2 linked regions of the Yarrowia lipolytica genome follow. The protein of the gene in region 1 binds, or shares a complex with, the protein of each later gene. Links are inferred from orthologs where the notes say so. Each region holds a gene or a part of one and is shown on either strand. Other genes may lie near its edges.

Evidence for each region.
Region 2: YALI1_B15521g (region 1) and YALI1_F27663g share a complex: the UniProt entries of both Saccharomyces cerevisiae proteins name them as parts of the 7-subunit TFIIH core complex. The link is inferred for Yarrowia lipolytica from reciprocal best matches to the Saccharomyces cerevisiae genes SSL2 and RAD3.

Annotation. Positions count from the first base shown.
Region 1 is NC_090771.1:1,542,468-1,558,912, forward strand, and holds YALI1_B15521g (uncharacterized protein), read left to right. Parts: upstream 1-9,655; coding exon 9,656-12,139; downstream 12,140-16,445. Other genes in the region: YALI1_B15440g (uncharacterized protein), read right to left, coding at 1-1,550; YALI1_B15460g (uncharacterized protein), read right to left, coding at 3,109-3,588; YALI1_B15475g (uncharacterized protein), read right to left, coding at 4,529-5,065; YALI1_B15482g (uncharacterized protein), read left to right, coding at 5,800-7,152; YALI1_B15509g (uncharacterized protein), read right to left, coding at 7,607-8,467; YALI1_B15560g (uncharacterized protein), read right to left, coding at 12,801-13,535; YALI1_B15587g (uncharacterized protein), read right to left, coding at 14,838-16,289. UniProt on the Saccharomyces cerevisiae protein: ATP-dependent DNA translocase. Component of the general transcription and DNA repair factor IIH (TFIIH) core complex. When complexed to CDK-activating kinase (CAK), involved in RNA transcription by RNA polymerase II.
Region 2 is NC_090775.1:2,759,490-2,775,509, reverse strand, and holds YALI1_F27663g (uncharacterized protein), read left to right. Parts: upstream 1-9,118; coding exon 9,119-11,476; downstream 11,477-16,020. Other genes in the region: YALI1_F27758g (uncharacterized protein), read left to right, coding at 1-1,209; YALI1_F27731g (uncharacterized protein), read left to right, coding at 1,956-1,988, 2,313-2,741; YALI1_F27716g (uncharacterized protein), read left to right, coding at 3,908-5,014; YALI1_F27701g (uncharacterized protein), read right to left, coding at 5,117-5,225, 5,271-5,395; YALI1_F27692g (uncharacterized protein), read right to left, coding at 5,565-6,278; YALI1_F27686g (uncharacterized protein), read left to right, coding at 6,910-7,938; YALI1_F27667g (uncharacterized protein), read right to left, coding at 8,327-8,794; YALI1_F27574g (uncharacterized protein), read right to left, coding at 11,615-16,020. UniProt on the Saccharomyces cerevisiae protein: ATP-dependent 5'-3' DNA helicase.

The sequences.
Region 1 (16,445 bases):
AAACCGCAAGTGGATTTCGCGCGCGTCGCTCTGGGTGATGATCTGTGAGAGAATTCCAACAGGTGCAGGTTCTGAGAGAGCCCTAAAGACGGCTTTTGAAGCACCTTACTCTCATAATCGGCCATCTTATTCTGGTAGGTAATGATGATGGGGATGATGAGATCGACAATTCCATCAAGAATGGCCTGTAGAAGCATGGAGGCGTCACACGACTCTCGCAGAATTGTAGAAGACGATGAAATACGTGCGAGAATTCGTCGCTCGACATCAGCAGCAGAGTGTTCGAAAAAAGAAATCACAGTGCCTTCCTCGCCATTAGTTCCCTTCACCAAAAAGATACTGACCTGTTCCATACCCACAGTTCGCTTCTGGGCAGACAGAGGACGTTTGGAGTTTAGGTAGGCGGTTCGCTTGGCCGAAGAGATAGGTGTATGCCACTCGTACATGGTCTCCATGGCGACATTGGCAATTTCTGCAGACAAAGAGTCCGGTTCGAACTCGTATGTGGGGTCTGTTCGGGGTCTGTAGCCTCGGTTCTTGACTTGGGACTTGTTGTTGGACGCCATGGAAGCAGTGGTCGATGTGCGACTGAGCTTCAGGTTGTCCTTCATTTCCACTAGACCGTTGGAATCCCAGAATCGTCTGAAGCCACCTCTCTTGGATCTTCGAGAGGGGTCAAATGCGATCAGTTTATGCAGAGGAACGACACAAAAGATCTGGTTGGGATAAGGATCGATCTTTGTCCGTTGGGGAATATCCACCATATCTTCCAGAGCCAGACGATGCAAGTTGTACTTCTCGGCAATGCAAGAAATGGCCTCGTAGGACAGACCGTTGACGTTGATCCATCGGACTTTACTCCAAGAGGGTTTCTCATCCAAGAGCTGCTCAAACTTATCCGTCTCTTTGTTTCGATGCACCTCTCCGTGGATCACCTTATATCGATCCGCTGAGTAATCGACGATGGTCACGGCTGATCCAAGAGATCGCTGCAAAGTATCTGACAGCAGAGGGTTCAGACCAGGCTCGTGTCCACGCGAGGGTTTGCTGTGGACCGACTTTCGTCGCACTGAGGGCGATTTTGAACCGATTTTGGGTCGGAAAGACGAGGCTGACGAGTAAGTTCGACCCCGAGGCTCCTCGATCTGCAAACCAGGTGAATTTTCGCTTCCTGGGCTAGTGAGCATGATTCCAGGAATACCAGCATCGTCAGAGGTGTCCTGGGCCTCGAGATCTTTCTCAAAGGAGACTGGAGAGATGGGAGACACATTGCTGGGAGATCTGGGTCGGATGTTGCTGATTGCAGAAGGAGAAACACTCAGAGGGGGGGCTTCAGCGGTGGCGAAAGAAGGGGTTCGAGGTCGCGCTCGTCCAAAGGACAGAAATCGTGATCGAGTTCCTTCTTCAGCGGCGTCCCCTTCCTCCTCCTCATCGTCCTCAGAATCAAAGACCAGAGCAGACTCGTTGTTGTCGGTGTCCTCCAGAAAGACCTTGGGCAGCTTGGGGTGCTCAGGGTCTTCCGAATCAAACACGTGGGTGGAGAAGGTCATGGCGGTACCAGTAGTGGTGATTTGTTTCGTTTTTTTTGTCGGCTTTGTTTCTTGTCGATTAGGCACTGCAAAAAGTACGCTTGTTTAAGGCGATAGCAAGATTTCCATGGGTGAGGTGTTTGGTGCTTGTGTGTGTTAGCCGATTGAGCAGCGACGGCGCACGTTATAAGTAGTTGGAGTTGGTCGACCGAGAAGGTTTTGGTGCGGTCGTGATTTTGGTACCGTAGGTAATCTTTTTCTCGTTTTGCCTGTTCTAATTTTTAATTCTGGTGGGGCGTTAATTCCTTGTCCAGCGCTTGCATCCACTTTCAGACCTGTTAAACGTTGCCAAGCGCTATTATCGAAGTTTATCGAAGTCAAACAATGTGGGTCTCTTGGAAGTTTGCAGGTGATAATAGAGACTAATATTGCTCATATCGACGGGTTGAAACTAATTGAAATACCCTACAAACGGGGATTATTGTACAGAACTAGTATTATCACTTTGTGGCAACGATTACTCGTCGTAGACCCCTCATCAACCCAGAGCCGTGCCGAAGTCAAAGCCAATTCCGCAGACAGTTTCTGCAACGAAATATAGCTCTTGGGAGTTTTCTATTGGTGGGTCAAATTCTGAGGTGTCAAGTTGCGGCACTAGGCGAGACGTTCTGCGGTAGATGAAGACGTGATATATCTTAGATTGGTCTGTTTTATCGCTAGTAGGCTTTCCCTTCAGTTAGCTGTTGATTTTGCCTATTTTATTCGCTCGCAAACGTCCATGCCTCTCTACGTTTGCAGTCTTCCCTCACAGAAAGTGTGTTGGTTCGCAATAGTGCCAACTTAAGCGGGCTGAACGTTCTGCATACACGTATGTATGAACATGCTAACGATGATGTCATGTAAAGAATACGGGATGTTCGCTATATTCTTGTGGAGTTTTTTCGATTCTGTTTCATCCCCCTTTGCTTCTGTCACATACGTACTCCCATTTTGTCCCATTTACATTCAATATTCCCGTCTTGGCTTTGCCGAAAGCCAACTCTATCACACCGGCAGAGCCATTTGCCAGGTGTTGCGAAATTACGCATGATGAAGATGTCCTGAAAGAGACCGTAAAGTTGGGAGAAATCGAGACGACGACGGTGAAAATTTTGTAAGTGATAAATCTCGTTGATTCGTACAATAAATAGTCTTGCTCTATGATCCGCATACAAGTACGAGCACGTACTGTAAAATTCTTTCCGTTGGCCTATGCAAAACTTTGACCGTTAGGGTCTATCAACTCTACCCTCGCCTGGATGGTATTTCCGTGTTGACAAAGAGGAAGCATTCTCGTCTCCTTCCACCCTCGGTTGTACACACTGGCGCATCGTATCTGCTGTAGCAAAGTTAGTAGCGGCTTGGCTTGCCTATCCACCATCGTGTCTTTTTTCTCTCGCGGCTACTGTACAAGTACGATACTGTACTTCGCAACTCTTTCAGGGCGCTAGTATAAAATGAAAGTTGTGGACGCTATAAATATTGTATCGTAGTCTAGAGCGGTACTTTTACCGCCTCGAATTGCTATGAACGCATGTCACTATTGCGACAAGCTCATAGCAACGCCTCCAAGTTCAGTCCCGATATTACAACCTGTGCCTTGTACAGTAGTCATATCATGCAAGTCTTGAATCACAGAGTGGGATAGGGAGTAAAGTGCAGCTACAAGTAGATCGGCATGGGGAGCGAAGATTTTAACCCCAGTGGTTATTGGTGCTCTCTTCCGCGCTCTGAAGCTTCGGCTTGCAAGTGACATACTTTTGCAAGGCCAGTGGGGGTCCCTATCTGTCGTCCGAACCAAATGGAGTCTACAGATTGAAATTAGCAATAAGCATGGAAAATTTTGATGGTCAGTCACCAGGCTTCTACTTGTAGTACAGTGCATACAATAGGTCAATATTGAGTGCTTATGACGGACCGTTGCTCGATTAGTTATTCCTTGTGGCCCAACCACCGTCCCACCAATATCGAAGCCATGTTGACTTGGCATAATATGGAGCAGCTCAGTCTCCAACACCATGCCTAGAGCAATGAGGGGATATACTTACTTTGTACAACAATTGCTAAGTCGTACCGGTACATAACCGACAAAAATATTCTACTCTCGTCTTCTTCGCTCAAACTTATCGTTACAGCTCACAGTAGTTCCACTCTACAGTAAATCTTCTACTTGCAACGTATTGAGCATGGAGCGTAATTGAGGAACATGTCAGTACAGAATATCGTTCGGTGTCTCTTGTACTAGTTGTTGTCTTTTGGTGTTACCAGCTTATTGTTGTTTCTTTTACTTACCTGGATACGACCCTCTTCCCCATCCCTTTCTCGGACTTTACTTGCAGCGTCTCTCTATGAATACCATCGCACGGCTTTTCTTCCGAATGTAACCCTACAAGCTCACCTCGATCACCCCTCTTGCACCGAAGACTTTATGCTCAATTCTCAAATCCTAGGACGTCGCTTTCCACGCCACTTACACACACCATCTAGATTTATTTCAGCCCTTCTTAGCTTCCCTGCATGACCGTTGTCTTGGCACGTTGCCCAGATGAGACAATAGAAGATGAGTGTGTATGGGGAAGTCTATAGAATTTTTTCAGTCAGTTGACTTACGCGGTTGTCTTGCAATGGGCCAAGCTGTGTCGATAAACCTCTTACTTACTGACTCTTGTCTCCTATGAAACTCACTCCTACGTAAAGCCATTTATGGGGCGGGACTGGTGTAAGTTGCGCCAGGATCATGCAGTCTGGACCAGGGAGTTGAGTGTGGTTTTTTTTAATGCTTCCACCTCTATAATAGTTCTGGCTGTCGTTCAAGTACGAGTTCCTTTGTTCCCAGTTGCAGTTCAGCAGCTGACAGATGTGTGGGCATTGGTCATTATTGATCATTGTAAGCTTGGTATGCTTGCATTCACGCATCTTTTTCTTTTTTTTTCTGCATCTTTCTTTAACGAATACCTCTTTTACTCAACTAAAATCTCGAGAAACTCAACTAGCTCCTTCTGGCCCTCTCTCACTCGCTTTCCTCCTCTTGCCTTGGCTTCAGGACTAGTGTAGAACAAAGGGATCTTCAGCTCCTCAAAACGCCTGTAGATGTAATCGTACATGTTTGTCAGCGTCTTGTGGGCATGTGCATGGAATGCCTTTTCGGCTTCCTCCCTCGTGGGTGGCTTCTTGTTTTTGGATCCCCCCCCTCCTCCTCCGATTCCTACTGATGCTAGGATGTTGTCGACTTTCTCAAAGTCACGTTTCTGGGCCTCTATTTTCGCATCGATCTCATTGTATTCCTTCTCGAGCTGGGCCAGTCGTCTCTGCTGCTCTATCATCAGCCGTTTCACCTCAGTCAGAAACTCAGGCCGTTTCGTGAGTTCATGGACTGTGTATTTGAGAGCATCGGCATAGGTGGTGATTTTCAGTGGGTCCTTCTGAGTAAAGAAAGGCGTACTGTTTGCAGGTTGCACACGCGACAACTCGGCCAGCAGGTTAGTCAGATCAGACATGTCAAGGAGTCATTGAAATGTGGTGATAGAGCAGTGTAACTTGGCCTACTGTAGCGCCTGCATCTCTGAAGCGTCCTCCCTTCAGAACCTTACCCAAGGAAATACACGCGCAGAGAAGACAAGTAAGCATCTCGTTGTCAGTGTGCAGTGTTACGAAACAACTTCCGGTACTGTAGTGTACATACTGTACTTGTACAAGTAGGATCTTATTTTGTATCCAATGCGAGCTCTCTAGTGTCTCCGTTTGGTGGCATATAAAAGTACGAGTACTTAAAATCTCTTCGGTGCGGTCTCATAGTACCCACATTGGCATATCTCCAGGGACTGCTGCAATTTACATTGAAGCAATTGAGTCAATGATATCACACAGCGAGCTACGATGATATCAATGCAATCATTCTTGAACCTATCCCTTATGCCCTCCTCATAATCTCTCTTAGTCAGGATCTCCCAACCCGGACACTGCCACATTCCCAAGCCCAAAGATGAAAAACGATAATCCGTGTAGAAAACAGCACACTCATCCAACGTGTAGGCCCCCTCATATTTAGTCAAAGAACAACACCAAAGACACCGCAGGCCCCTCTTTATTAATTCCACCAACATTCACTTTTCCATCTCCTCGCACCACCCAACTACGCTCTCTCCAAAGTGTGCATCACGTGATTCAAAATTACCTCCACGTCAAAACTCACACGTATCACCACATTCACTACAACACCACACAGCACACAATGGCGTCGGCAATTTTCTTCCTGGACCTCAAGGGAAAGCCTCTGTTATCGCGAAACTACCGCGGCGACATCCCTATGTCGGCTGTCGACAAGTTCCCCATGCTGCTTCTGCAGGCCGAGGAGGAGTCACCTGTCGTCCCTCCGTGTTTCACCCATGAGGGAGTCAACTACCTGTACATTACCCACAACAACCTGTACCTGCTGGCTCTGACGAAGCGCAACACTAATGCCGCCGAGATTCTGCTGTTTTTGCATCGGGTCGTCCAGGTGCTGACAGAATACTTCAAGGGTCTAGAGGAGGAGTCAATCAGAGACAACTTTGTGCTCATCTACGAGCTGTTGGACGAGCTGATGGACTACGGTTTCCCACAGACCACCGACACAAAGATCCTCAAGGAGTACATCACCCAAAAGTCCCACATTCTCGAAATCGCCATGGAAATCGCCCAGGTGCCAAAAGAGCAACCAAGACCCCCTATGGCTGTCACGAACGCCGTGTCTTGGCGTTCCGAAGGCATCAAGTACCGAAAGAACGAGGCATTTTTGGATGTTGTTGAGGCTGTCAACTTGCTGATGTCTCCTTCGGGCCAGGTTCTGCGTTCTGAGGTTCTCGGCTCTGTCCAGATGAAATGTTACCTCTCTGGTATGCCTGAACTGCGACTGGGACTTAACGACAAGGTGCTGTTTGACCATGTGAGCAACACCGGTGCTGGGGGAGGCGGATCGGGCGGATCTGCTCGTGCATCTCGAGGAAAGAGCATCGAGATGGAGGACGTCAAGTTCCACCAGTGTGTGCGACTTTCGCGATTTGAGAACGATAGAACTATTTCGTTCATCCCTCCGGATGGCCAGTTTGAGCTCATGAGCTACCGCCTCAACACCACCGTCAAGCCGCTGATTTGGGTTGACTGCAAGATCAACAAGTACTCCAACACGCGTATTGAGATTCTGGCTAAGGCCCGTGGCCAATTCAAGAAGCGATCGACGGCCAACAACGTCGAAATCCACATTCCTGTTCCCGAAGATGCCGATTCGCCTAAGCTGGCTGCTACCGCAGGTTCCATCAAGTGGCACCCTGAGAAGGCATGTGTCACGTGGAAGATCAAGCAGTTTGGAGGAGGACGAGAATTCTCCATGCGAGCGGAGTTGGGTCTTCCCTCCGTTCAGGACGCTGATGAGCAGGCTAAGAGCAAGAGACCCATCCAAGTCAAGTTCTCCATTCCTTACTTTACTACCTCGGGTATTCAGGTTCGATATCTGAAGATTGTCGAGCCGAAGCTGCAGTACACTTCTTACCCTTGGGTTCGATACATTACCACTAGTGGAGAGGACTACACCATACGATTGGCATAAACGTGACAAGTGCTGCATGAGGGAAGACAGCTCTCCGGTTGTTTTCAACTACGAAGTAAAGCAAGCAGGGATAACAAAGTATGGGCATGGGTGTCCGTACTACTTGTACCAGGAGGATTGATGGTGTGTAAAGTATGGGCATGCTTAGCTATTTTGCAAATTACATACTACTTGGTAGAGGATAGCAACGCATATCGGTGACGTTAGTATGTATTTTATGACTGTATGCTGATGGAGCTGCAAAGGTACACTACGATATTAGAGAATATATAGTAATCATTGTAATTATTGCAAAAGAGTAGATTTTATACACTGCTCAGAACCCTCTAATCACTGCAATTCAGTATTGAAACGGACGATAACTACAGTACAGTACTCACATCTTACATCGTTCAATACTCCATCATCCATTCGTTCGATACTATATACATCCCCTTTTTTGTAGACAATCCCCTTAGACAATTTCGAGAGGGTCCTTGTCGGTCTGAGAGATGATGACCTCAACCTCCCCGTCGTGCTGGTTCTTGAGCTCCTTGGTCAGCAGAGTCTGGAAAGTCTTGAGGTAGCCTCTCTCGGTGTTGGAGTGACCGCAGACAATGGCAGAGGTACCGTTTTCAATGAGACCTAGGGCCTCGTGGTGGCCAAGCTCGCCAGTGAAATGCACGTCTGCATCAACACCTCGCAGAACAGAGGCTCCAGAACCTGCACAGACGGCCACGGAAGAGATCTTAGCCTCAGGGTTCTCGTGCTTTTCGGTAAGGGCAACCTGGACATGTTTGAGTCCCAGACCGGTCTTAACTCGCTTCAGCAGCTCGGAGAAGGTAATGGGTTCCTTGAGACGCACCACTCGGCCCATGCCAGCACCCTCCTGTCCCTGGACGCCATCTACGGGCTGGCAGACCTCCCGGGAGGCCTCGTTCTCCTTTCCGAGAGAGACTACGTCGATCAGGAAGTCATTGACACCTCCAACGGCAGCGTCAACGGCAGTATGGGGGCAGTAGACAGAGATGCCAGCCCGGGCAAGTCGCAGCAGAGATCGCTGCTGGGAGTCCGACTGGGTGATAGACTTGAGGCCTCGGAAAATAAAAGGGTGATAGGCCATAACAACTCCGGAGTTGTTTCGGATAGCCTCGTCGACAACAGAGGTTGTCAGATCGATGGTGAGCAGCACATTGAGCTTCTCCTTCTCAGGTTCGGTGTCCAGAGGGCATTCCAGTAGTAGGCCGGTGTTGTCCCAAGAGGAGTCTGCGAGAGCTCGAGGGTAGAGCTTCTGAATAGAGGAAACAATGGTTTTGACGGCACGCTTGGAAGACATGGTTGTGATGAAAGATTAAGACAGACAGAGGAAGACCTGCTTGAGCAATCGCCGCCTATGCAGTGTGAGCGTAAGTGAATCAGGGTTCATGGGGAACCAGATTGATGAGTAAAAGGTGTGGAAGTGTACTACAAGTACTAGCTAATTAAAGAGGTGGATGGGCGTTTAAATAGATTGATTGTGTAGATAGAATGCGAAGGGAAAGTTATTGCCTTTGTTTTGTTTTGTTTTGCAACTTATTTGCTAATGCAAAACATATGGGAGTCACCTTCAACCATCGATAACAAACTAGTTCAACGTCACTTGACAATGACAGTTATGGAACAAAAGATGCTGAATAGACGTGCCTCGCATCAACTTCTTGCAATAAGTCAATGTGAAGCAGCTCTTTCAAACCACAATGAGAAGAACATCTTCCAAGCGTACCGCATTCTTGTACAGTACGTATTTTGTAGCTCTCGCTGAGCGTACAAGTATGTGTACTGTACACACTGGTGATGTGATGAATTCTTCGTGCTCTGATACCAAAGTGACTCAGACATCAAGATTCTGACTCAAATTGGAACGACCAGCCATAAGGGCTACAGTAACAGTACCACGATTATATAAAAAGATGTTGGACTTCTCTGACACCCCTTGTTCAAAGCAAAAGCTCCAAGAAGTTCTTAAAAAGCCCGGGTTCCTCTAGACACCGAGAAATCACTTGAAAGTTATTTTCAACGGTTGGCCACGCGAACTGGCTGCAGCTTCCTTCGTCTCTACCAGAACGGTAGCTCCTCCGGCCTCCACATCCAACGTTTCCCACCTATCCAGTCAGTACTGTCTATAGTGGTGTCATGGTTAAAGAAGAAGTAAGATGGAACATGAAAGCCCTTTTATAGTGTTGGAAAATCTTCCAAACTTTAAAAAGCCCTAACTCCTCCCAGCTTGCATATTGGAATCAGCGTGCAGGTAACTGTGTTCAGACTGGAGTGTACACTGGTCGACAGTGGCGAAACAACGTATTCATACCCCATTGACACTGATTCACAGGCTACACAGACAGACGAAATAAAGCAGCAAGTTTCACACAGAGACCAATTTCACATCTTCATACACTAAAAATTACATCACTAATTGCATTCTCAAGCATCATCAACATCACATAACAGCAACCCCAACAGCACCCACCACTTAACAACATCCACAATGCTCAGATCCAAGCGAGACGCTTCTAAACGTCGGTTTGACGACGTCAATCTCGACAGTGACTCCTTCTCCGACTCCAACGATTCATATTCCGACGATGAGACATACGAGAAGGTGCCTCAGACCCGTCTTAAGATCAAAATGAAGGAACAGGACCCTGGAGATGCCACATCAGGTCTCGATACCAAGGTGCATTCGACCTATTCGGAGATCCCTGACGACTACGTGCCCGACAGTGTATCCAACATCTTCGGTAAGCACGACTTCTCATACCTCAAGCTGAAGCCAGACCATGCCGCTCGACCCTTGTGGATTAACCCCGAGGACGGTAGAATCATTCTGGAATCCTTTTCGCCACTTGCAGAGCAGGCTCAGGACTTCCTGGTGACCATTGCAGAACCCATCTCTCGTCCCTCGCACATTCATGAATACAGAATCACCACTTACTCTCTGTACGCGGCTGTCTCAGTGGGTCTGGAGACTTCTGACATCATTTCCGTTCTCAACCGACTGTCCAAGGTCCCAGTCCCCAAGAGTATCATCAACTTCATCCACTCATGTACAAAGTCTTATGGTAAGGTCAAGTTGGTTCTGAAACATAATCGATACTTTGTGGAATCTTCACAGGCAGACGTCTTGCAGATGCTGCTCAAGGACCCTGTTATCGGTGCTCTGCGTCTGGAGGCTTCGGAACAGTCCACCACAGGCTCCGGTCTTGTTACTGAGTCGGCACCTAAGATGGGCGATCTTAAGATTCCCGGTACAGAGAAGCCCAAGGAAGAGGAAGGTAAGGATGGAGAAAGGGACGGTGAGAAGAAGGCTGACGAAGACGCTGAGGATATCTTCTCTCATGTTGTTGGTATTGAGAACGATGATGATGACGATCTGGACGCTGTTCACTCGTTCGAGATTGCACCTGACTCAGTCGAAACTGTGAAGAAGCGATGTCAGGAGATTGACTACCCTGTGTTGGAAGAGTATGATTTCCGAAATGATCATGGTAACCCCGATCTGGATATCGACCTCAAGTCGTCCACCCAGATTCGACCCTATCAGGAGAAGTCGCTGTCTAAAATGTTTGGTAATGGACGAGCCCGTTCTGGTATCATTGTCTTGCCATGTGGAGCCGGCAAGACTCTGGTCGGTATCACAGCTGCTTGCACCATCCGAAAGTCCGTTATTGTGCTTTGCACCTCCTCCGTATCCGTCATGCAGTGGAGACAGCAGTTTCTGCAGTGGTGTACTATTCAGCCTGAGAACGTGGCTGTGTTCACTTCCGAGAGCAAGGAGAAGTTCTCTGGTGATGCTGGTCTCGTTGTGTCTACTTACTCAATGGTAGCCAACACCCGGAACCGATCCCATGACTCGCAGAAGATGATGGACTTCTTGCAGTCTCGAGAGTGGGGTTTTATCATTCTGGATGAGGTTCACGTCGTGCCCGCCGCCATGTTCCGAAAGGTCGTTACTAACATTGCCGCACACGCAAAGCTGGGTCTTACTGCAACCCTGGTGCGAGAAGATGACAAGATTGACGACCTGAATTTCTTGATTGGCCCCAAGCTGTACGAGGCCAACTGGATGGACTTGGCCCAGAAGGGTCATATCGCCAACGTTCAGTGTGCCGAAGTGTGGTGCCCCATGACCTCAGAGTTTTACCAGGAGTACCTCAAGGAGAACGCTCGAAAGCGAATGCTACTCTACATTATGAATCCCTCCAAATTTCAGGCTGCCCAGTTTCTCATCAACTACCACGAAAAACGAGGTGACAAGATCATTGTCTTCTCTGATAACGTCCATGCTCTCAAGGCTTATGCACTCAAGCTTGGAAAGTTCTTCATTTTCGGTGGCACTCCCCAACAGGAGCGAATGAAAATTCTGAAGAACTTCCAGTACAATGACCAGGTCAACACCATTTTCTTGTCCAAGGTCGGAGATACTTCCATCGATTTGCCCGAGGCTACATGTCTGATTCAAATCTCGTCGCATTACGGCTCTCGACGTCAGGAGGCTCAGCGTCTGGGTCGTATTCTGCGAGCCAAGCGACGTAACGATGAGGGTTTCAATGCCTTCTTTTACTCGCTAGTGTCCAAGGATACCCAGGAGATGTATTACTCAACTAAAAGACAGGCCTTCCTGGTCGATCAGGGTTATGCGTTCAAGGTGATTACACATCTGCATGGAATGGAGAATCTGCCCGATCTGGCTTATGCTTCTGCTCGTGAGCGACGAGAGCTGCTGCAGGAGGTGTTGTTACAGAACGAGGACGCTGCCACTCTCGAAGAAGGAGACAACGCAGATTCGTTTGTGGGCCGAGGTTCTTCCAACAAGCGAGGCAGTGCCAAGCGAACCACCGGTTCTCTGGCATCGCTGGCTGGTGGAGAAGATATGGCATACATTGAGACCAACAAGAACCGAAACAAGGATCTGCGAAAGCCTTCCAAGCAGAGTGCATTTGTCAAGAAGCTGTACTCCGGAAAGAGATAGGGGTTCTACTTGTAGCATATATAAATAATTGATAGACATAACATTGAGAAGGTTGATATACTGTGGCGAATATTACAAAACTGACGAGATACAAGTTCAGGTAACTTAAAGATTCATTAAGAGGGTTGACAATAAATAGATGGAAGCTTCTCTCTGAGCGAGATCGAAACGTCGGTTGCACTTGAGTCGATGAGGGGCGAACTCTTCATATGTGATGATAATCTTTGCACGTTTGGCAGTAGACGTACTTGGTCTATTAGAGGTGTAAAGCTAGGGTCTGCGCCCGGTAACGCTGCATGATATATAAATATGAAGTTTCGTGGCCTCATGGTTACTTGGTTACCATGAGCCGTAGTCGCCCTCTGGTATTCTTTGTCTTTTGCTGTTGTTTCCTTATCCATGTGTGTCCCATCGTGTTCGTATGTACCTGCATGCTATGTACAATATTTTGCGATACGATCAAGACTGAGTTTGTTCACAAGCTGTATAGATGTCAAAATACTCTTCTAGTAACTTCAAGTAATTTCGTACAGTATGGTACGGCACTTACGCTGGACGCATCTTCGCCATTACCTGTGCAATTACTTTGTATCGTACACAACCCAGCCGGGATCTTGTTTGGTATGTAACAGTTAGTATCTAATGTATTGTGAATGTATGTTTATGGAGTATTCACGTCGTGGTATTCATACAGGGAAGGGGCTGAAGGGTCAACTACAACCACATTTTCTCCCTCGGAAGAAGTCCGTTCGTCGGCAAAATCGTAGTCGGACGAAATATCGGATGCCGAAGAGCCCCATGTGCTTTCCCCATGACTGTTGGCTGAATAACTGAGCGATGGCTGCTCTGAAACAATGGAGGCAGGACGTGCCCCTGCACGCTGCTGTCCATGGCCATGCCCATACGTCTGACGTGGGTATCCTCGTCTATTTTGTGTTACCGAACCACTGGTGTCTGATGACTGGCTCGAGCTGCTCCAATATTGCTGAGTGTCCGATTGTGGCGGTTCCGGCATGTGAAACGAGTTGTAGGAGTTGCTGGGGTCGCTGGAGCCCACCGTCTTGTCCGAGCCTATGCTTGTGCCTCTCTTGTTGCGTCTTCTGAATGACATTTCAATCTCCTCGGTGTAGTCGTCCTTGTGTGGCTCCTCTGATCCGACAGCCGAATGCAAATGCACTTGTGATTGAGAGGTATGTGTCTGGGTCTGTGTCGCTTGATCTGAATCTGAGTGCCCTCCATCCCGATCATATGAGGCTGGCACGGCAGAAGCTCGCTTGCGAAGCCGTCTCTCCATGAGCTTGTGCTCCACGTAATCGCAGATCACATCGCGCTCCTTGTACGCAAGTGCGCCCGCCGAACATACTGCGGCGGCCACAATAATTAGCGGCACTATCATGGGTGGAATGGTGGTCGTTGGAGCCTGGGTAGGAGGTCTGCCTGTCAAAGATGATGTGGATACGCCAGTGCTTTATCTGTCCGATTAAGCTTCGAAACCTGGGAGGGTGAACACACCTTGAAGTAGTTCGAGAGGGAGGCTCATAAGAGAGATTTGGGGGTGTTGACATACTGTAGGGACTCTATTTTGTCACCGAATTGGTAGCTTGCCACAAAAAGTGCTCTTTTGCCTTCCAATCGGTCCCCAATACCACTCAAACAGAATTCTATAACCACTCTAACTACACTTCCCCCCTCTTCCACTGTCGTACGCCCATGTCCCCATCTGTCAAGCTTCTGTACGACTGAAAGTTAATGCCGAATGCTAATCTTTGGTGGCTTTACTATCATGGTACATACAGTAGAACCCCAACTGAATTGTTTTACTCGAAGATGCTGTAAGTATTCTGCATAGACAGCGCTTCTCACTATTGAAATGTTCCAGAAAAAACAATGAATTATTACAATCTTGCTTTCTGTCATGTGATCTAGCTTAATAACACATCATCGCTATCCTCGTCTTGCTCGTTCCTCTCATCTGTCTATTTATAGCTGGCCTGCAGACGCATGTATTTGCCACCTTCGTGGATCATGTTAATCATGTCCTTTAGCCGCATGAAAAAGGGCGCAATAGGCAATCTACAGCTTACCATGGCGTGGAATGTACGAACAGAGTGGGGTCTGTGACGTGTTAGTTCCTTTCTATGGGTTGTCAAGGTTCCATCCAGTGACTGAAGGTACGGTGCGGTACGTGCCATACTCGGGAGACATTCGACTTTGCATATATAGTAGACTGATGTTAGTGACGATTATGAAAGGGTGTGTAAACGGTATTAATACAAGTACAAATGGAAGTGGGATGCATAGGACCAAATCATCACTGTTTGTGTATCGGCGGTTTCAAAAACTTCACAGTCATGTATTACAGTACTTCGCTACTCTGACTGGCTGAGTCACCTCTCAGGGTAATAATACAGTTGGCTTGAACGAAGTATAGAACTACAAAGTATCGTACAGTATGTACATGCTGTGTACATACTGTACATTCGATTCACTCCAAGATTGTTCGGAACAACACTTGTCTCGTATGTCCGTAGCAACTACAATGCATTGGTTACTATTCCGAATCAACGTCAATATCGTACACGTGTATTCTCTATATCTAACAGCATACACTTGGTCGCCAACCGACGATGTATAATTATAAAATGCTGGTGTGGCCGGCTGACATACAATAATAAGTTAGTAGCAGTCAGACGTCCTTTTAGTCGGTGAACTTGTAACTGCCGGAAGACATGGTGATGGATCCTCCCTTGTAAGCACCCTTCTTCATCTTGTTCTTGCCCTTGGTGAAATCCTTTCCTCGGACCTTCATCAGCTTGTCGTTGGCCATTTCACCCCAAGTTCCGGCGGCGCCCTTGTATGTGTTGTCCATGAGAGACTGGTCCTCGAAGGAGATCTTAGTTCGATCGATTCGAGAGAAGAACTTTCGTCCCCCCTCCTCCTCGAAAGTTGCCTCCACGTAGCTGTTGTCCACAGGGGAGTCAGTCTTGGGCTTTTTGATAACCAGAGACTCCACCTCAATCTCCTCCGCCTTTCGCTTCTTGGCAGGAGGCTGCTCCTCCTCATCAGAAGAATCAGAGTCAGAGTCCGACGAAGAAGACGAGTCAGAGTCAGAGGAGTCAGAGTCCGACGAGGAAGAAGAGTCGGAGTCGGAGGAAGAATCCGAATCGGAAGACGAAGAGTCGGAGTCGGAGGAAGAATCCGAATCGGAAGACGAAGAGTCCGAATCAGAAGACGAGTCCGAATCAGAAGAATCAGAAGAATCAGAAGAATCAGAAGAATCAGAAGAATCAGAAGAATCAGAGGAATCAGAGGAATCAGAGGAAGCATCCTTCATCTCAACATCCTTCGCATCTTCCTTCTTGGTCTCTTTCTTGGTCTCTTTCTTGGTCTCTTTCTTGGTCTCTTTCTTGGTCTCCTTCTCGTCATCAGAGTCGGAGTCAGAATCGGAGTCAGAATCAGAATCAGAATCGGAGTCAGAGTCAGAATCAGAACTGGATGAGTCAGAGTCAGAATCGGAGTCAGAGCTGGAGGAGTCAGAGTCAGAATCGGAGTCAGAGCTGGAGGAGTCAGAGCTGGAGGAGTCAGAGTCAGAGTCAGAATCGGAGTCAGAATCGGAAGACTCAGAAGAACCGGAATCAGAAGACTCCTCCTTCTTGGCCTCCTTCTTGGCCTCCTTCTTGGCCTCCTTCTTGTCCTCCTTGACCTCCTTGACCTCCTTAGTCTCTTTTTTCTCGTTCTCGTCCGCGGAATCGGAGTCAGAATCAGAATCAGAATCAGAATCGGAGTCAGAAGACGAGGAGGAAGAGTCGCTATCCGAGTCAGAATCGGAGTCGGAAGATGAAGACTCGTTCTCTTCCTTGGTCTCCTCCTTCTTCACAGGCTTCTCATCCTCAGAGTCAGAGTCAGAGTCAGAGTCACTGGAATCAGAGTCGCTCGAATCAGAAGAGTCGGAGGAATCTGAACCGCTGGAGTCAGAGTCGCTAGAGTCAGAATCAGAGTCCGAAGAATCATCACTGGAAGTAGACTCATCACTGGAGGTGGATGCTCCGCTCTCAGAGGCGGGCTCAGTAGCCTTGACGGCCTTCTTGGAGTCCTTTTTGTCGGCCTTCTTGATCTTGGAAATGTCCTTTGTGGCGGATTTGCTACCCATGGTGTGTATCGTTGAGCTGTGTAAATGTATGAAAAGAACTGTTATCTGCACCTTCAAATTTTTTTCCAGTCTCGCATATTTTTTTTCAGCCTCAAAACTCAAAACTCAGATAAGCTCACGTGCGCACCTCAACGGCAATCAACTTCACTTAGACTC
Region 2 (16,020 bases), on another chromosome or scaffold:
TTCGATTACACGAATATCAATGATGTGGACGACTTCCTCAACACGTGGACCGGAGAGTACTCCAAATACGCAGCTAACAGCCCGACTTTGACGGGTAAAACAAAAGATACGAGCCATTCGGGTACCTTTCCCGCTCAGGACAAGGACTTCACATCGAGGGGCGCCTCGAAACAGCTGTGGCATACCCCCACCGAGCTGTTCAAGCCTTACTACGGAGAGGCTCTGGCACGATACTTGCTGGTCAACTACAAGCTCTCGCTATACCCCTACAAGGATCTGATCATCTACGAAATGGGAGGAGGTAACGGTACGCTCATGACCAACATTCTCGACTATATTCGAGATACTCAGCCCGAGGTATACGAGCGAACCCGATACAAGGTCATTGAGATTTCCGACCAGCTGGCTCACAAGCAGCAGAGTGCTCTGCACACCAAGGCGTCCGAGACCGGTCATCGGTCCAAGGTCGAGATCATCAACAAGTCGATTTTTGATTGGAAGGAGCCCGTCAACGACCCCTGCTTCTTTGTCGCCCTCGAAGTTTTTGACAACTTTGCCCACGATATCGTCCGATACGATAACCGAACTTTGCAGCCCTACCAGGGTCATGTTCTGGTTGATGCCAATGGAGACTTCCACGAGGTGTATACTCAGAAGCTCGACGAATGGACCAAGCTTTTCCTTCAGATCCGAACGGAGGCTCTTGAGGACTACTCTCCCGATAGCAGACTCGGTTTCCATCCTCTGTCTACCCCTTGGCTTTACAAAGAGGCCCGAAACCTCATGTGGCCCTTCCACTCTGAACTGTCTGACCCCGAGTTCATCCCCACTCGATACCTCGAGTTCCTGTATATTCTCAAGAAGTACTTCCCCCAGGCTAGATTGCTGTCTTCTGATTTCACACATCTGCCCGAGACCACCACTTCACGGTTCTCCGGATACAACTCTCCTGTGGTTCAGACAGTGCTTGACAACCAGATGGTCACCACTAACACACATATGGTTCTGCAGGGTTACTTCGATATTCTCTTCCCCACCGACTTTGAGCTTGCTGCGCAGCTTCTTCGTCACGTGTGTGGCAGAGTGCCTGAGATTTCTACCCATCAGGAGTTCTTGGAACAATGGGCCGACCTTGATGCAACCACTACAAAGACCGGTGAGAACCCCATGACCAGTTTCTACCGAAACGCTGCCTTCCTCACCAATTAAGAGGGGCTACAGTAATCACAAGGTTATGATTACTGCTAATAGTCACGAGGGAGTTCGGAGGGGGGAAAAAAACATCTGATCTGTAGCTGTAGATGGGCTATATCTGGTAATATGGTGAATGCGTGACAGTCTGAAAATGCCAGCTCTCCACATTATCAATGCATATATGTATATAGAAATTTAATTTGTCAGTTAAGCACTAGAAGAATTGACAATAAAACCACAGTTGCAGGGTTAAATTACTCCACTTTTTTAGTGCGGATCGTGACGTCTCACCGCTGTTTTAACATCACCACTATTTATAGTTGGTCAGTGTGCCCCTTTTATGCACGTGACCGCACCAACTTACCCGGAAGTATAAGCTCCCGCAACGTACAGCTGGCAACACCTCACCCAAGTTCTCAGCTACACACAACCTATTCATTAAAAATGGTGAGTAAACAACGTGGAGTCAACCCGGATTTCGACCTGCGGGCAATGCAATTGGGCGAATTGGGCACTTGAGAGATCTGGTTGGAGTCTACAGAATGATCCTTGTGTCATAACGACGACATCGACGACTTGGAATTTAATGGCGCTTGGGGTTTGGGGTTCGGGACTCATGGCATCATGGGGGTGTGATAAGACGAGCATCGACAATTTGAACGATCCGAGAAAGACAGTCATGACACCACCAAACTACATGGCAACTGCAAGAATGATGACCCCCTTCTGGTGATGTCACTTTGTCTGCGTTTACAAGATTGATGTTTCAACCATGTTGCTCGAAAAGCACAATGGTGTGTCGTATGTCTCATCGGCTGTCACGGTGATACCCAAGCGTATGACCATCCAGCCACGTCTTTGCCGCCTCGCGCCTATTGTACCTTCTTTCGTCTGATTCTTGTTGGTTCGGCATATGACCCTCTCGATATGCGGCTTCTGCCACAAAGGCCCCAGTATTGCCCTTTAACTTTTGAAGCACGAGAACAATGGGGTGATGGAAAACATGCTCGCCGTTGTAGCATGCGATGAAGCAGGTCGATATGGAAGGGGAATATTCAGAGCAAGTGGAGATTTATATATGTGATGGAACACAACGTTGTCATACATAGCTAACTCAGTCCCGATCCGGTGTTGCCGTTAACGACTCTGCCCTCCAGGCTTTCAACGAGCTCAAGCTCGGCAAGAAGGTCACCTTCATCATTTACAAGATCAACGATGCCAAGACCGAGATTGTTGTCGAGGAGGAGGGAACCACCGACTCTTACGACACCTTCCTCGGCAAGCTGCCCGAGAACGACTGCCGATACGCCGTCTACGACTTTGAGTACGAGATCTCCAGCGGTGAGGGTAAGCGATCCAAGCTTGTCTTCTTCACCTGGTCTCCCGATACCGCTCCTGTCCGAAGCAAGATGATCTACGCCTCTTCCAAGGACTCTCTCCGACGGGCTCTTACCGGTATCTCCACCGAGATCCAGGGTACTGACTTCTCCGAGGTTGCTTACGAATCTGTTCTCGAGCGAGTTTCTCGAGGAGCCGGTTCTCACTAAGTATGAAATGTATATTGTGACATGTTTTATAATTACTCCGCCACGGTGTAGCGCTAGGAGGGGTGCGTTAAAGACGCTCCCTGTCAGTCTCAGTTTTTAGGCTGCTTCAGTGGGGTGGAACGCCGATAGCAATAACGTGTGCAACGTGCGTGAGACTAAAAAGTGGGTGATGTGATATCGACTTTTACAATCAGTGTGGCAAAGACGAAGAGAGGATATAAAAAAAGGAAATGTAGCCCTACGAAGCAAATAACTCTTTGTATAGTGTGGCTGGCTTTCTGAGTACGGCGGCAACCATCATTGACAGTCTATACGTGCTGGGCATTGGCGTGTCTTGGTATGGTTCTGCGGTTAGCCAGGGTTACTATAAGTTTTTGATAGTGCGAAAATCGCAGAGTGACTAGACACTGCCATGATGTGTAAGGGTTGATAATTCGCGTCTTTGGTCCTCGGTGACTAATTAAGATCTACCCCCGGGTGCCAAGTAAGAGACATGGGAAGGCTAAAAAACACAAATTGCTAGACTAATTAATTCTTGGCGAAATAAAGAGAGTAGCGACAAAGAGGCAGGTGTACGGGCGACAGACAAAGTAAGGTACCGAAATATAGTCCATGCTGGGGTTGCCTAATGGGACGAGGAGCCGAGGGCCGGCGTCTGGGACGCCCACAAACATCTCTAGAATGACCTTGAGCTGTGGATACGAGCCTCGTGGATAAGCTTCTTTATACTTGGGTTCATGACAGTGAGGCTGAGGGTCATGTGAGTTAATGTGCAAATCTTGGCGGATTATGCAAGGTGGTGGGTGTTGATATAAAAGCATGCAACCGCTTTTTTACGATAAAAACGAGCCGATCGCCTCTAGACTGGTACTCTAAAAGTCCCCAGGTGTATTTTTCCTGCATCTGCCATTCTTCTGGAACCTCTTTCGCCCAAAGGTTTCCTGTTGTGGACACAGCCGCTCGTTTCGTGCACATCCGTTCGCCCTCTGAATTGTTTTACTGACACATCGAAGTGCCGGTTCAAGTACAGACAGCTTACAGTACACAGACAAAGAACCTCCATCCATTTGTTTCTGTTTGCAGAAAGGGCCTTCTTAAACCTCCACACGCACAACATCTACATATCACCCGACAGCATATAGGTCTCTGCATCTACCTGGCCTAAAATGTCTACCACCGCGTCGATCACAATCTTGACAGGGACACCCACAAATACACCGGCTACGCCTACGACCTTCAACACTTTAGTCACCTCACTAACGGCCACTCTAGGACCCACATCAACTCAAAGTGGGCCTCCTTCTGGTGTCCCCACAAACCCAAACTCTCAGCAACAACGCAACACTTCTACTACACAGAACTATCTGTTCTTCATTGCCCTCGCTCTTGGAATTGTCTTTGTCAATCTCTGGATCATTCTGGGCATCCGGTTCCTATATCGACGACGCCAGCGACAACGAGCTGTGTCGGATCCTGAGAACCAATCTCCCGATCCCATGATTCCCATGATTGCCCGCGGTATGGTGATGACAGGAGGCCATCCCAGAGCCAGGCAGCGAAGGAAGCGACAAAAGAAGGTGGTGTCGCTGGCATTCATGGACGACAACTTCCCTATGACACGCTACGCCGACTGGAAAAACGGTACATACACCAACGAAAAGCGCGTGGACGAAAAGGTACTGGAGAAAGAAGTCGCAGAAAGAAACATGACAGAAAAGGAAATGGAGGCTTTCAGCGATGACGCTATTGAAGACTCCGCAAACCACACTACCATCGTCGTGGAGGAGGATATCGGTAATGTGGGATTTTTGTCGTTATCTAACTCTGCAGGTGCATCTGCGTTATCGCTCACGGAAACAAACTCTAGAACCGACAGAGTGGAGCCACCTTCAGATCCCGATACGTGTGCGATTTGCATCGAGCAGCTAGAGGACTGTGATGAGATCCGTGTGCTTAAGTGCAACCACGTGTTTCACTTCTCTTGCATCACTCCCTGGATGACTAATCGAAATGCGTCTTGTCCGCTGTGCAAGACACAATATTACATTCCCCCACCCCCTCCCATGCCTGACTGGCTGGCTAGCAATGGGCAGGTCCCCACACCAACTGTAGATACTAGGGTCACTAGTACAGCTACAGCCACCACCACGACGACCTCAGGGTCAGATGATAGCCCCTCATTGTCCTCGCAGACGCAGATACCTCTTGCAGAACTGCCGCCTGCAGCAACCTCTCGACTGTCGCGTTTCAAGAGGGTCATGAGGCTGACGTGAGCCAGTGTGCCCAAGATAATTCAGGCTGGATGATGGGTTATTTTTTCTTGGTTAGGCAAGCTACTCGCTAATTTTTCCATGGGTCTCATTGTCTATTATTTATTATCGAGACCTTCCCTCTCGCACAGGTTTTAACTGCAAGATCGCACATGGTACTTGTAGTGTAAATAGGATTAACTTATATATAGCTACTCCAGAACGAGAACAAGTACTTGTACGATAGAGAAATATAGGGCAAGTATATAGCTACTCGTACTTGTATGAGTGCTTATAGGGGTCTGCGCGAGAGTGTCTGAATAATGCTTCGCACAATCTGCCCTTATTCGATGTTGTGGCTGGCTCATCTCCCCACATGACCGGCTCATCCGCATTATACAGCATCGCAATTCAAACGGTGTGAGAATAAGGATATACGCAAGTTAAACAAAGCACACAGGGCGGACTGGTCAAGAACATAAAAAAACATCAATATTTATTGGCTTCATATATACAACACTTTGGTTTAAATAAATACAGGTGATACGTACTAAAGGTTCTTGGAATTGGCTGATTAAAGCGTGTCTCCAACATACTCCTCGCCAGGCACAATCTTCTTGTGATCCGCGGGGTTGGCGGCTGACTCGTACAGCGTCACGACGGGGGCTCGGTTAAGTTCCTTGAATTCGCCACGTAGACCAATGTAAAGAATTCGGGTCACGTCCTCGCCGTAGTTGTCCTCCACAAACAGCGTCAGACTCGTGATGTTGGACCACTGGGCCCGCGAAAGTGCATATTCAGCAATACCCTCTTCATCCAGAGACGACGACGTAGGGGCGACCTCAATGGAGTGATCCAGAGTGCCTCCGACCCCCTCGGGATGCTCGATCACATGGTTGGCAGTGAGATCGGAGGCGGTGGAAAAGTCGAGGTCATCTCTGTTCTTGAATAGCTTCATGTGTCGAGGGGCAGAGTCGTCGTTGGTGGTTCGAATGAGCAGCGAGTGGATCTTGCACAGACCCGTGAATGGCACGTGGATAAGAAGCTGCTCGTCCACGTCACTCTCCAGGTACTTGGAGGTGTCCAGACGGGACTCCCAGTCCTTGAAGACAGAGGCTCCGGCTCCCTCTTCAGACTCGTTCAGGGTTCGGATGCCAGCGTGCGAAATCCGATTATACAGAGTCTGAGCCGAAGAGGTATGGGGCTGGGGAACGTGACTGTGGTCGTGTCCATGGTCGTGGCCGTGGTCACCGTGATCGTGTTCAACGTGTTCAGAATGGCAGTCCATATGGTTCTGTTTGAAAGCTGGAGTTTAGGCTGTTTATGATATGCACTTGGTCCGCACTAACTTTGGATATTTTGGTATAAGATTCGGTATCGTTATCTGAGGTTATGAGCACCGGTGAGATGAAGGGTGTGCCTGAGGCCGATACTGCGTAGTGTAGAATGTTGGTAGTGGTAGATGCTTCATATTGGGTTGCGTTTTTTTTCCCGGATATATTTAGTGGCGATATTCTACTGCGAGGGTCTGAAACAGGCTCCATGACTAGCTCAACATTAATTGCTAGGCATCCGAAGTTCTAGACCCTTCTTGTGGGCCGTGCGCAAGAGGAGGAATTTTGAGTTATTCAACCTGGAAGAGATTACTTGATGTTTTAGGCTACTGTTTAGTTAACGACTAGGAAAAGCGTCAGTAATGCCAATCGGGAAATGAGGTCGTATAGCGATACCAGGAAGGTGGTAAGGATCTTGGTCTACGCCAGCTACCTCATTGCCTTGCTTCTGTAACACCCTCTTACTACAAGAGCAACGCTATTTCTCTGCTGGCTTAATGAGCTGTCCGTCCCAAACTCCCCCACAACGCAAACTCAAGTGTGTACGTGCATGAAATTTCACACTCATCACATTATCACACCACCATGGTCCACAAAGCCGAGTACCTGGAAGAACACGAGACCCAGATCTCCTCCATTCTGAGCGGCGGTTACGCCCACCCTCTGTCTCGACAGTGGCAGCAGAAGAACCGCCTCACCAAGGATATGTTCATCTATCCTCTTTTCGTCACTGATGATCCCGAGGAGGAGACTCCTATCAGCTCTCTTCCCGGCCAGAAGCGATGGGGCGTCAACAAGCTGGTGCCCTACGTCGACTCTCTGGTCAAGAAGGGCCTCCGATCTGTCATTCTTTTCGGTGTTCCTATGAAGGAGGGTGTTAAGGATCTTGAGGGAACTGCTGCGGATGATCCCGAGGGACCCGTTATTCAGGCCACCAAGGCTCTCAAGAAGGCCTTCCCTGACCTGTTTGTCATGTGTGACGTTTGCCTGTGCGAGTACACCTCGCACGGTCACTGCGGCGTTCTTCGAGAGGACGGAACTGTTATCCGAGACACAACTGTGCGACGTTTGGCTGCCGTGGCTGTCAATTACGCCAAGGCAGGAGCTGACTGTGTGGCACCCTCGGACATGATTGACGGTCGAATCCACGACATCAAAAAGGGCTTGCTCAAGGCCGGTCTTGCCCACAACGTCATGGTTATGAGCTACACTAAGTTCTCCGGAAACCTGTACGGACCTTTCCGAGAGGCTGCCTGCTCTGCTCCCAGCCACGGAGACCGAAAGCGATACCAGCTCCCCGCTGGCGGTCGAGGTCTCGCTCGACGAGCTCTTGCTCGAGACCTGGCCGAAGGTGCCGATGCCGTCATTGTCAAGCCTTCCACCTTTTACCTGGATATCGTGGTGGACGCTGCTGAGATCTGCAAGGACGTGCCTATTGCTACCTACCAGGTTTCCGGAGAGTACGCCATGATCCACGCAGCTGCCGAGAAGGGCGTTGTTGATCTGGAGGTGATGGCCTTCGAGGCGGCCTACGGTAACCTGCGAGCCGGAGCCAACCTCCTTATCTCTTACTTTACCCCCGACTTTCTCGAGTGGTTGGACCACCACCACTAAGGTGACACTACTAAGACGACAAGGCCCGATGACGAAGTAATGAGACCATGCCCCTAGAGTATCTAGATAATTATTGATGAAGAAACGAGAAGATATATTACAGCAGCAACGCCCTCCACTCGTGGATCCAACTACAATACAGAAAAAAGCACAAGTACAGTCCTTAATAGTGTATGAAGTATCTACAGTACCGGTACTTGTACATACTGTAGCGTCTGACATTGAAGGAGGTACTGCTGCACTCGGACAATCCCACTACGAACAACAAATCGAATAGGTAACATTCTATACATAATTTAGTCCGACTATCCTAACCATCGGACCCTACTGTCAAGATTAGTTGACACCCTCTTCCTTCCTTTCTCATGCTAGTGTACATTATAAATAACTAATCCTCGAGCTTCTTGACGTCCTTGACAATCTCGTCAAAGTTCTCCTTGTACTCGACCTTGGTGTCGGCCTTTTTACTCTTGCCTCCGCCGGGAACAATCATGACGGTGGAAGTGGGTCGCTTAGTAGCACCGGCAGCTCCGAGATCCTCCTTGGAGGGGATGAAGAGGTAAGGAACACCGTTGTCCTCACAGAGAACGGGAATGTGAGAGACGACATCCATGGGAGAAATGTCTCCAGCGATGATGACAAGACCCTTCTCGCCCTTTCGGAGAGCCTTGACAACCTCCTTGACACCTCGCTTAACGTGCTTGGCCTTGGAAGCCTTCTTCACGGTCTTGAGCACCTTCTTGTTGAGCTTCTTGGGGGCAAGAGGCTTGGCGAAGGGCAGCAGAGCCTCCATTCGAGCGTCGTAGTTGTCGACCTCGTCAATCTCAACGGTGATATCTCCCTTGTCTTTGCCCATTGTTGTAGTGTGATGTGTGAGACTGCAGGATGAAAAAAAAATTTAGCTACAGCGCTTGAAAAAACTTATTAGGGTTCAGAGGTTATGAGCATCCAGGAATACATGCACACAAGATCAGAATTAAAAAGTAAACAGATAGACAGCTTACGGACATGATTACTATTAATGATACCATTATTGGGTTATGAGCCGTTTACACACTCCTGATAAATTTTTCAGATCCCCAGCTCCTCCCAAAACAATCTACCCTAACCACGACGCCATGCATTACACAACCTTGATATATCAGTAGCACCATTCGTTGCGACAGATCAACCACCAGAGATGAAGTTCTACATCGATGATCTGCCGGTGTTGTGGCCATACCCTCGGATCTATCCCGAGCAGTATGCCTACATGTGCGACATCAAGAAAACCCTGGACGTGGGAGGCAACTGCATCTTGGAAATGCCTTCAGGAACAGGCAAGACTGTCTCCCTGTTGTCTCTGACAGTGGCGTACCAGCAACACTATCCCGAGCATCGAAAGATCATTTATTGTTCCCGAACAATGTCGGAGATCGAGAAGGCTCTGGCTGAGTTGAAGAACCTCATGAAGTTTCGAACTGAGACTCTAGGCTTTGAGGAGGACTTTAGAGGGCTGGGTCTGACCTCACGAAAGAACCTGTGTCTGAATCCCAATGTGCGATACGAAAAGAAAGGTTACATTGTCGACGAGAAGTGCCGAGCCATGACATCTGGAATTGCCAAGCAGAAGCTGGCTGCAGGAGAAGACGTTACTCTATGTGAATACCACGAGAACATGAACGACATTGAGCCTCACAACTACATTCCACCTGGTGTTTTCACCTTTGAGGACATTTTGGCGTATGGCGAGGAGCACAAGACATGTCCTTATTTTACTGTGCGTCGAATGATGGCCTTCTGCAACGTCATCATCTACTCTTATCATTATCTACTCGATCCCAAGATCGCCGACCGAGTTTCCAAGGAGCTGAGCAAAGACTGCATTGTCATTTTTGATGAGGCCCATAATATCGACAACGTCTGCATTGAGGCTCTGTCTGTCGACATTACTGAAGACTCCTTGAAACGAGCCACTCGGGGAGCAAACCATCTGGCCAAGAAGGTCAGTGAGGCCCGATCCAGCGACTCTGAGAAATTGAAAAATGAATACAACAAACTGGTGGATGGATTGCGAGATCTGGAATCCGGAGAACAAGAAGATACGTTTCTCGCTAACCCTGTGCTCCCTGAAGATCTTATTTCGGAAGCTGTGCCTGGAAACATTCGAAAGGCAGAACATTTCGTGGCCTTCTTGAAACGATTCATTGAATATCTCAAGAGTCGAATGAAGGTGCTTCATGTCATTTCCGAAACCCCTGCATCGTTCTTGAAACATCTTCGAGATTTGACATACATTGAACGAAAGCCTCTTCGATTCTGCGCTGAGCGTCTATCGTATCTGGTCAGAACCCTCGAGTTGACTCACGTCGATGATTACACTGCTCTCAAGGAGATTGCTGTGTTCGCCACCTTGGTGTCTACCTACGACACCGGCTTCCAGCTCATTCTGGAGCCCTTTGAGACCGATCAGGCCACCGTTCCTAACCCCATTTTGCATCTTACATGTTTGGACGCCTCCATTGCTATCAAGCCTGTCTTTGATCGGTTCTCAAGCATCATCATCACATCCGGTACCATCTCCCCTCTAGATATGTACCCGAAAATGTTGAACTTCGAGACTGTGGTTCAGGAGTCGTACACCATGACACTGGCACGGCGAGCCTTCTGTCCTCTCATTGTGACCAAGGGTTCAGACCAGGTAGCCATCAGTTCTCGATTCGAGATCCGAAACGATCCTTCAGTTGTCCGAAACTACGGTAACCTTCTGATTGAATTTTCTAAGATCACACCTGATGGCCTTGTCGTCTTCTTCCCTTCATATCTTTACATGGAGTCTATCATTTCCATGTGGCAGACTATGGGTATTCTGGACGAAGTGTGGAAGTACAAACTCATTCTGGTCGAGACTCCTGATGCTCAGGAAACCTCTCTTGCCTTAGAAACTTACCGAACTGCCTGCTCCAACGGTCGAGGCGCTGTCATGCTCTGTGTCGCTCGAGGAAAGGTTTCGGAAGGTATCGATTTCGACCACCAGTTTGGAAGAACTGTGCTTATGATTGGTGTTCCTTTTCAGTACACCGAGTCGCGTATCTTGAAGGCTCGTCTCGAGTTTTTGCGAGATAACTACCACATTCGAGAGAACGACTTCTTGTCTTTCGATGCCATGCGCCATGCTGCCCAGTGTCTGGGACGAGTCTTGCGAGGTAAAGATGACTACGGTGTCATGGTGTTGGCTGACAGACGTTTTGCCAAGAAGCGAAACCAGCTGCCCAAATGGATCAACCAGGCCATTTTGGATGCTGACACAAATCTGTCCACAGATATGGCTCTAGCTGCAGCCAAGAAGTTTTTGCGAACTATGGCCCAGCCTATGAACAAGGAAGACCAGGAGGGTGTTTCAGTGTGGTCATTGGAGCAGCTTCAGGAGTACCAGGGATCCAAAAAGGATGGAGGTTACCGACTTGCCCCCGAGGATGCCATGGATATCGATGAAAAGGATCTTGAAGAGGGTCTCAGAGAAGTCGAACAAGCCAAAAAAGAAATTGCTGCTCGATAACAACGGTACGTACAGATATCCGTAGCAGCATATAATATAACAAGCATTATTTAATTAAAACACAAGAGCAGTCCACAGGCACAGTCAATGCAAGGTTATACAATACAATAATAATATACATAATTTATGATCATCCTCTTACTCCTCCATTTCAACCTCTTCCGCTTCCTCACCCTCAGCCACAGTCACTGTGAACTTCTTCTCGGCATCCGCATCAACATACGAGTCGCAAATGCACCAAACGTGACCACTGACCTCTCCATGCTCGGGGAACGAGACATCGATGTTGAAAGTCTGGGACTCGAGAGGCAAGGTGACTCGCTTGATACCAAAAATCTGCTTTGTCTTGGTATTTCCAACCACGATCCACCAGTTCTCCGTCTTGGGCTGGGGGAACAGGGGAGCAACCACCTCCAGATTAGCACGCTCATCCTCCTCGTACACATCTCTCTCCACAGTGACCTCGATGGTTCCGACATCGTTAGTAGCGTAAGAGTCAGCAAGCTCATAGCTGAGCTGAATACTTGGGTAGGCGTCCACAAAGTCAATGACACGCTTGAGTTGCTTCGCAGTAAAGTTGAGAATGCCCTTGAGCTTGTCCTCGTCCAGCTCGGAAATGTCTCCGACTGCCTCAACCCCCGCCCCCCTGAGATCGTCGATGATTTCGGGAGTGAAAAAAGGCACCTGTCGCAGAGGCGAATCAGACTCAAGAGTAGCTTGAACAACCATTTGGGACAGGTCCATTGCGTACATGCATGATTGATGGCCCTCAGAAGCCAGAAGATCAACAGAGGCAGCCAGCAGGGTAGGCAGCAGCTGGACAACCTCGGCCTGATCAGCAGTCAACTCCGAAGGGAGATTCAGCCGAGCAATATGACATTGAGCCAGCACAAAGGCCTTGAAAGCAGGAGTGAGAAGAACAGCAGAGTCCAGCTCGGGAAGCTTCCAGGGGATGTGGCCATAAAGACGTCTCAACAGAATGTCCTCGTGGTTTCGGATGGGAAGAGAGTCAAACTCAGCTGCAGTGGTGACAGCCTGCAAGATAGATCTATACTTACTCTTGGGAGAGAGGGCAGATGTGAGAGTAGCCATAGTATCGAAAGACACGTTGTAGTAGGATGCAATGGATGCAGCATTGAGAGGCTCCAATCCACCCTCGTCGTCCATCTCGACCATCTTTGCCTCAACAAGCTGTTCTACAGTAGTCTCAGCGAGCTCAGAAAGATAGACGTTGAGAGCATCATCTGATCGGTCAGGGACACCGTAGAAACCAGGATTGGCATGCAGGCGTCGGTACAGGTACGTGTAGGTTAACCAGGCCACAGTGTCATCCATGGACTCTATCACTTTCTCACAGATCTCTGCCAAAAGAGCATCATGTAGGGATGCTCCCAAGTTGGATTCCACAGGAAGAGAATCGTTGAGGAACCGCAGGTAGTAGTCCTTGGCAGCAGCGGGAGTCAGCACCAGGGCGTCGTTGGAAGCCTGTCCAATCATCTGCAAGACCGTAGAGATGGGGTAGTTGACGTATCGGTGCTCAGATCCCTCGTAGGTCTGGGTACCAAGAATGACACTCAGTTGAGAACGAGGCGAGGTCCAACATTCCTCACGGGTAGCAATGATTGTGGAGATGGACTGCTCAGCATACAGTGCCAACACAATCTTACGGTCTCTGGAAGACATGCTGGGGTAGAGGTGGCCAATACCGCTCTGAATGGCCTCCTTGAGAGTGTTGTCAGTCACCTGTGCCATAGCAAGCTCCAAATTGGAGTCCTCAGGAACAGGAGGCACCAGAACTTGCTCGTCCGCAATCGTGGAAAGACCAATGGTCACATCCACAAGAGTTCGACGAGAGTCCACAAAGATCACAGTCTGGGAGTGCTTGGGGGGAGCAAGCTCAAGAATGGCATTGTATGTAGGTCGAAGGAAAGCCTGCATGAGAGAAGGGTGATGAGGGATGGACAACGACTGAATGTGGATATTGGTAGGAGAAGCAGTCCAAGGTTTGAAGTTGTAGGGAGTGGCGTCAAGCCATCCAGCCATATCTACTCCATCGGCAACAGGAACACCCAGTCCGACAATTCTAAGAGGTCGTCCAGCACCACTCTCCTGCAACTGTACATCGATATATCTCATTCGAGAAACGACAGTCTCGTAGGTACCATCGCCGCCAACCAGATGCACGTCGTCGGCAATGAACAGGCTTACAGCTCTGACAGCAGCTCGCTTCTGCCACCGTCGAGACAAAGAATCCCACTGGTTAGGAGTGGCCAAAACCACATCGGAGGTGGCCAGCTTCCGTAAGTCAGCAGCAAGCTCACCAGACAGCTTTGAGAAGGTCTTTCCTCCATGAATCTCGTTCATTCGCTGACTCCAATCATCGTAGCGAGCATCAACTTGGGCTTGTGTGGGAGCCATGTACACAGTCTTGGCATCAGCATCTTCATTCCACAGTCTCAGTAGAGCCAGCTCGGCGAGAACAGTCTTACCAGACCCAGGAGGAGCTCCAACAAAGACGGAGCCGTCGCCCTCCACAAGAGGTCTGAACAGCTGCGATTGGATCTTGTTGAAGAAAGAAAAGTCGTAGAGCCCGGCGCAATCGGCTCGCTTTAGCTCAACAACAGGGACAGGCTGCAGATCAATAAGCTGAGTAGGGGCTGGGAACTTTCCTGGGAAGACAATGTTTCGCAAAGGCACAGCCAGACGAGCGTCGGCGTGCAACCATCTCTCGGAAGACAGAGTCACAAATAGATGAGGAGGTCGGGGGTCAGCAACAGTGACAGACACCTCAATTAAGTGAGTCTCAGTGGCGTAATCTCGCCGTAGGGTCCACGAGTCCGAGTAAAGAATCTTCTCACCGTCTCCGTCTTCCACAGTCAGAGCAAAGGGCTCGGAACCATGGTGAATAGAAACGTCCCACTCAAAACTGGGCTCCACCTCAATCTCCAGTCGCACGAGAGAGGCAGTAACGGGCAGTGCGCGAGCAGACAGCTTGAGCTGGGGGAACTTCTGAAGCATTCGGAACACAGGAGTGCCATATCGAGGAGTTCGGATAGCTTCTCCAACCTGTTCTGCATTCTCCAGCGATAAGTACCGCTTCCAAGGCATAGCAGAAGCCTCAATTTTCTTGGCAACCTCAGCAGGGCAGTCAGGAAACTGACGGAGAGGACAAGAGGATAGCCACAGACGCTGCTCAACCATCTTGCACACGTCAAGGGTAATTCGGGCTAGTCGAGCCCATTTCTTTCTCAGACAGAACTCATAGATGGCTCGGAACAGACGCTGGGCACTTTGGGTCACGTATATCATATCGGATACCAGTGCAAAGCCCTCGAGACTCAGTCGGGAAATGAAAGCCTGAAGAAGAACGTTGATCTTGGCAGTGGAGTCCTCAACGGACTCTCGAACAGGGATGGGTGCCGATTCCAGCAACTTTCCCAACTCTAGCTTCTCTTCTTGGCGAACTCCCACATATTTGAACTCCTCAGAGGCGGAGAACACCTGGAACAGCTCCACAATGGAGAAATGGGGCTTGAGAGAAATTCGGTATGTTCGCATAGACGAGTGAGTGATGTAGTAATGTGCAGCCACTCTACCGAGATCGTTGGCACGCACACGGCCAGTCTTGGTGTCGTAGATGACGAGACCAGACTTGGCCAGGTTGCTGAGAGCCGAATGAACGAGGTCGGCACGTCGGTTAGTAAGAGCGGCATCATCGGGATTAGATCCAACAAGGTATATACCAGGAGAAACAAGCATTCGGACGTAGAGGTAAGTATAACCTAGCCACTGAATACCATCACCCACCGAAGAAACTGTGCCACCGACAACCTCTGCGTTAAGAGAATCCTCCAGCCGTGACATAAGCTGAGACTCAATAGGGAGTTGTTGGTTCATCAGCGACAGATAGTAGTTGAGTTCCCCGTGGGTAGTAATGATGATACCTTCACCAGAGTCGTCGTATCGAGGTCGACCAGCACGACCAAGCATCTGGAGAACGTCCTGAGGAGACAGCTCGGTCCATTGACCCTTGGCAGGATTGTAAATTTGAGTACCCTTGATGATGACGGTATGTGCGGGAAGATTGACACCCCAAGCCAGAGTGGCAGTAGACACCAAAACACGGACATGTCCCTCAGCAAAGAGCTCCTCCGCAGCCTTACGGTCAACCTGTGCAAGACCAGCATGATGGGTAGCGAGACCAGTTCCGATGATCTCTTTCTGTGTGGCATCGAGTTCAGGATCTTGGGCACGCTCTGCAAGAGTTCGACGACTGCCATCAGAGGCACAAAAAAGAGGCAGCAGGCCCTCGTCCATGGCACGATCTCGCAGCATTCGAGCTGTCTTGGCGGTCTCCTTTCGGGAGTGCACAAAGACAATCACCTGGTGTCCAGCCTTGATGTTTTCAATCACTTTGTCGAAGCATGCGTCGTTCATGGCTGTGTATCGCTTGAAAGCTTTCTTCTCGGTGATACCAAGGAACCGCTGTCCCAGAGGACAAGGTCTAAAAGTGGAATCAAAGTAGAAAAGACCTGTCTCACCAA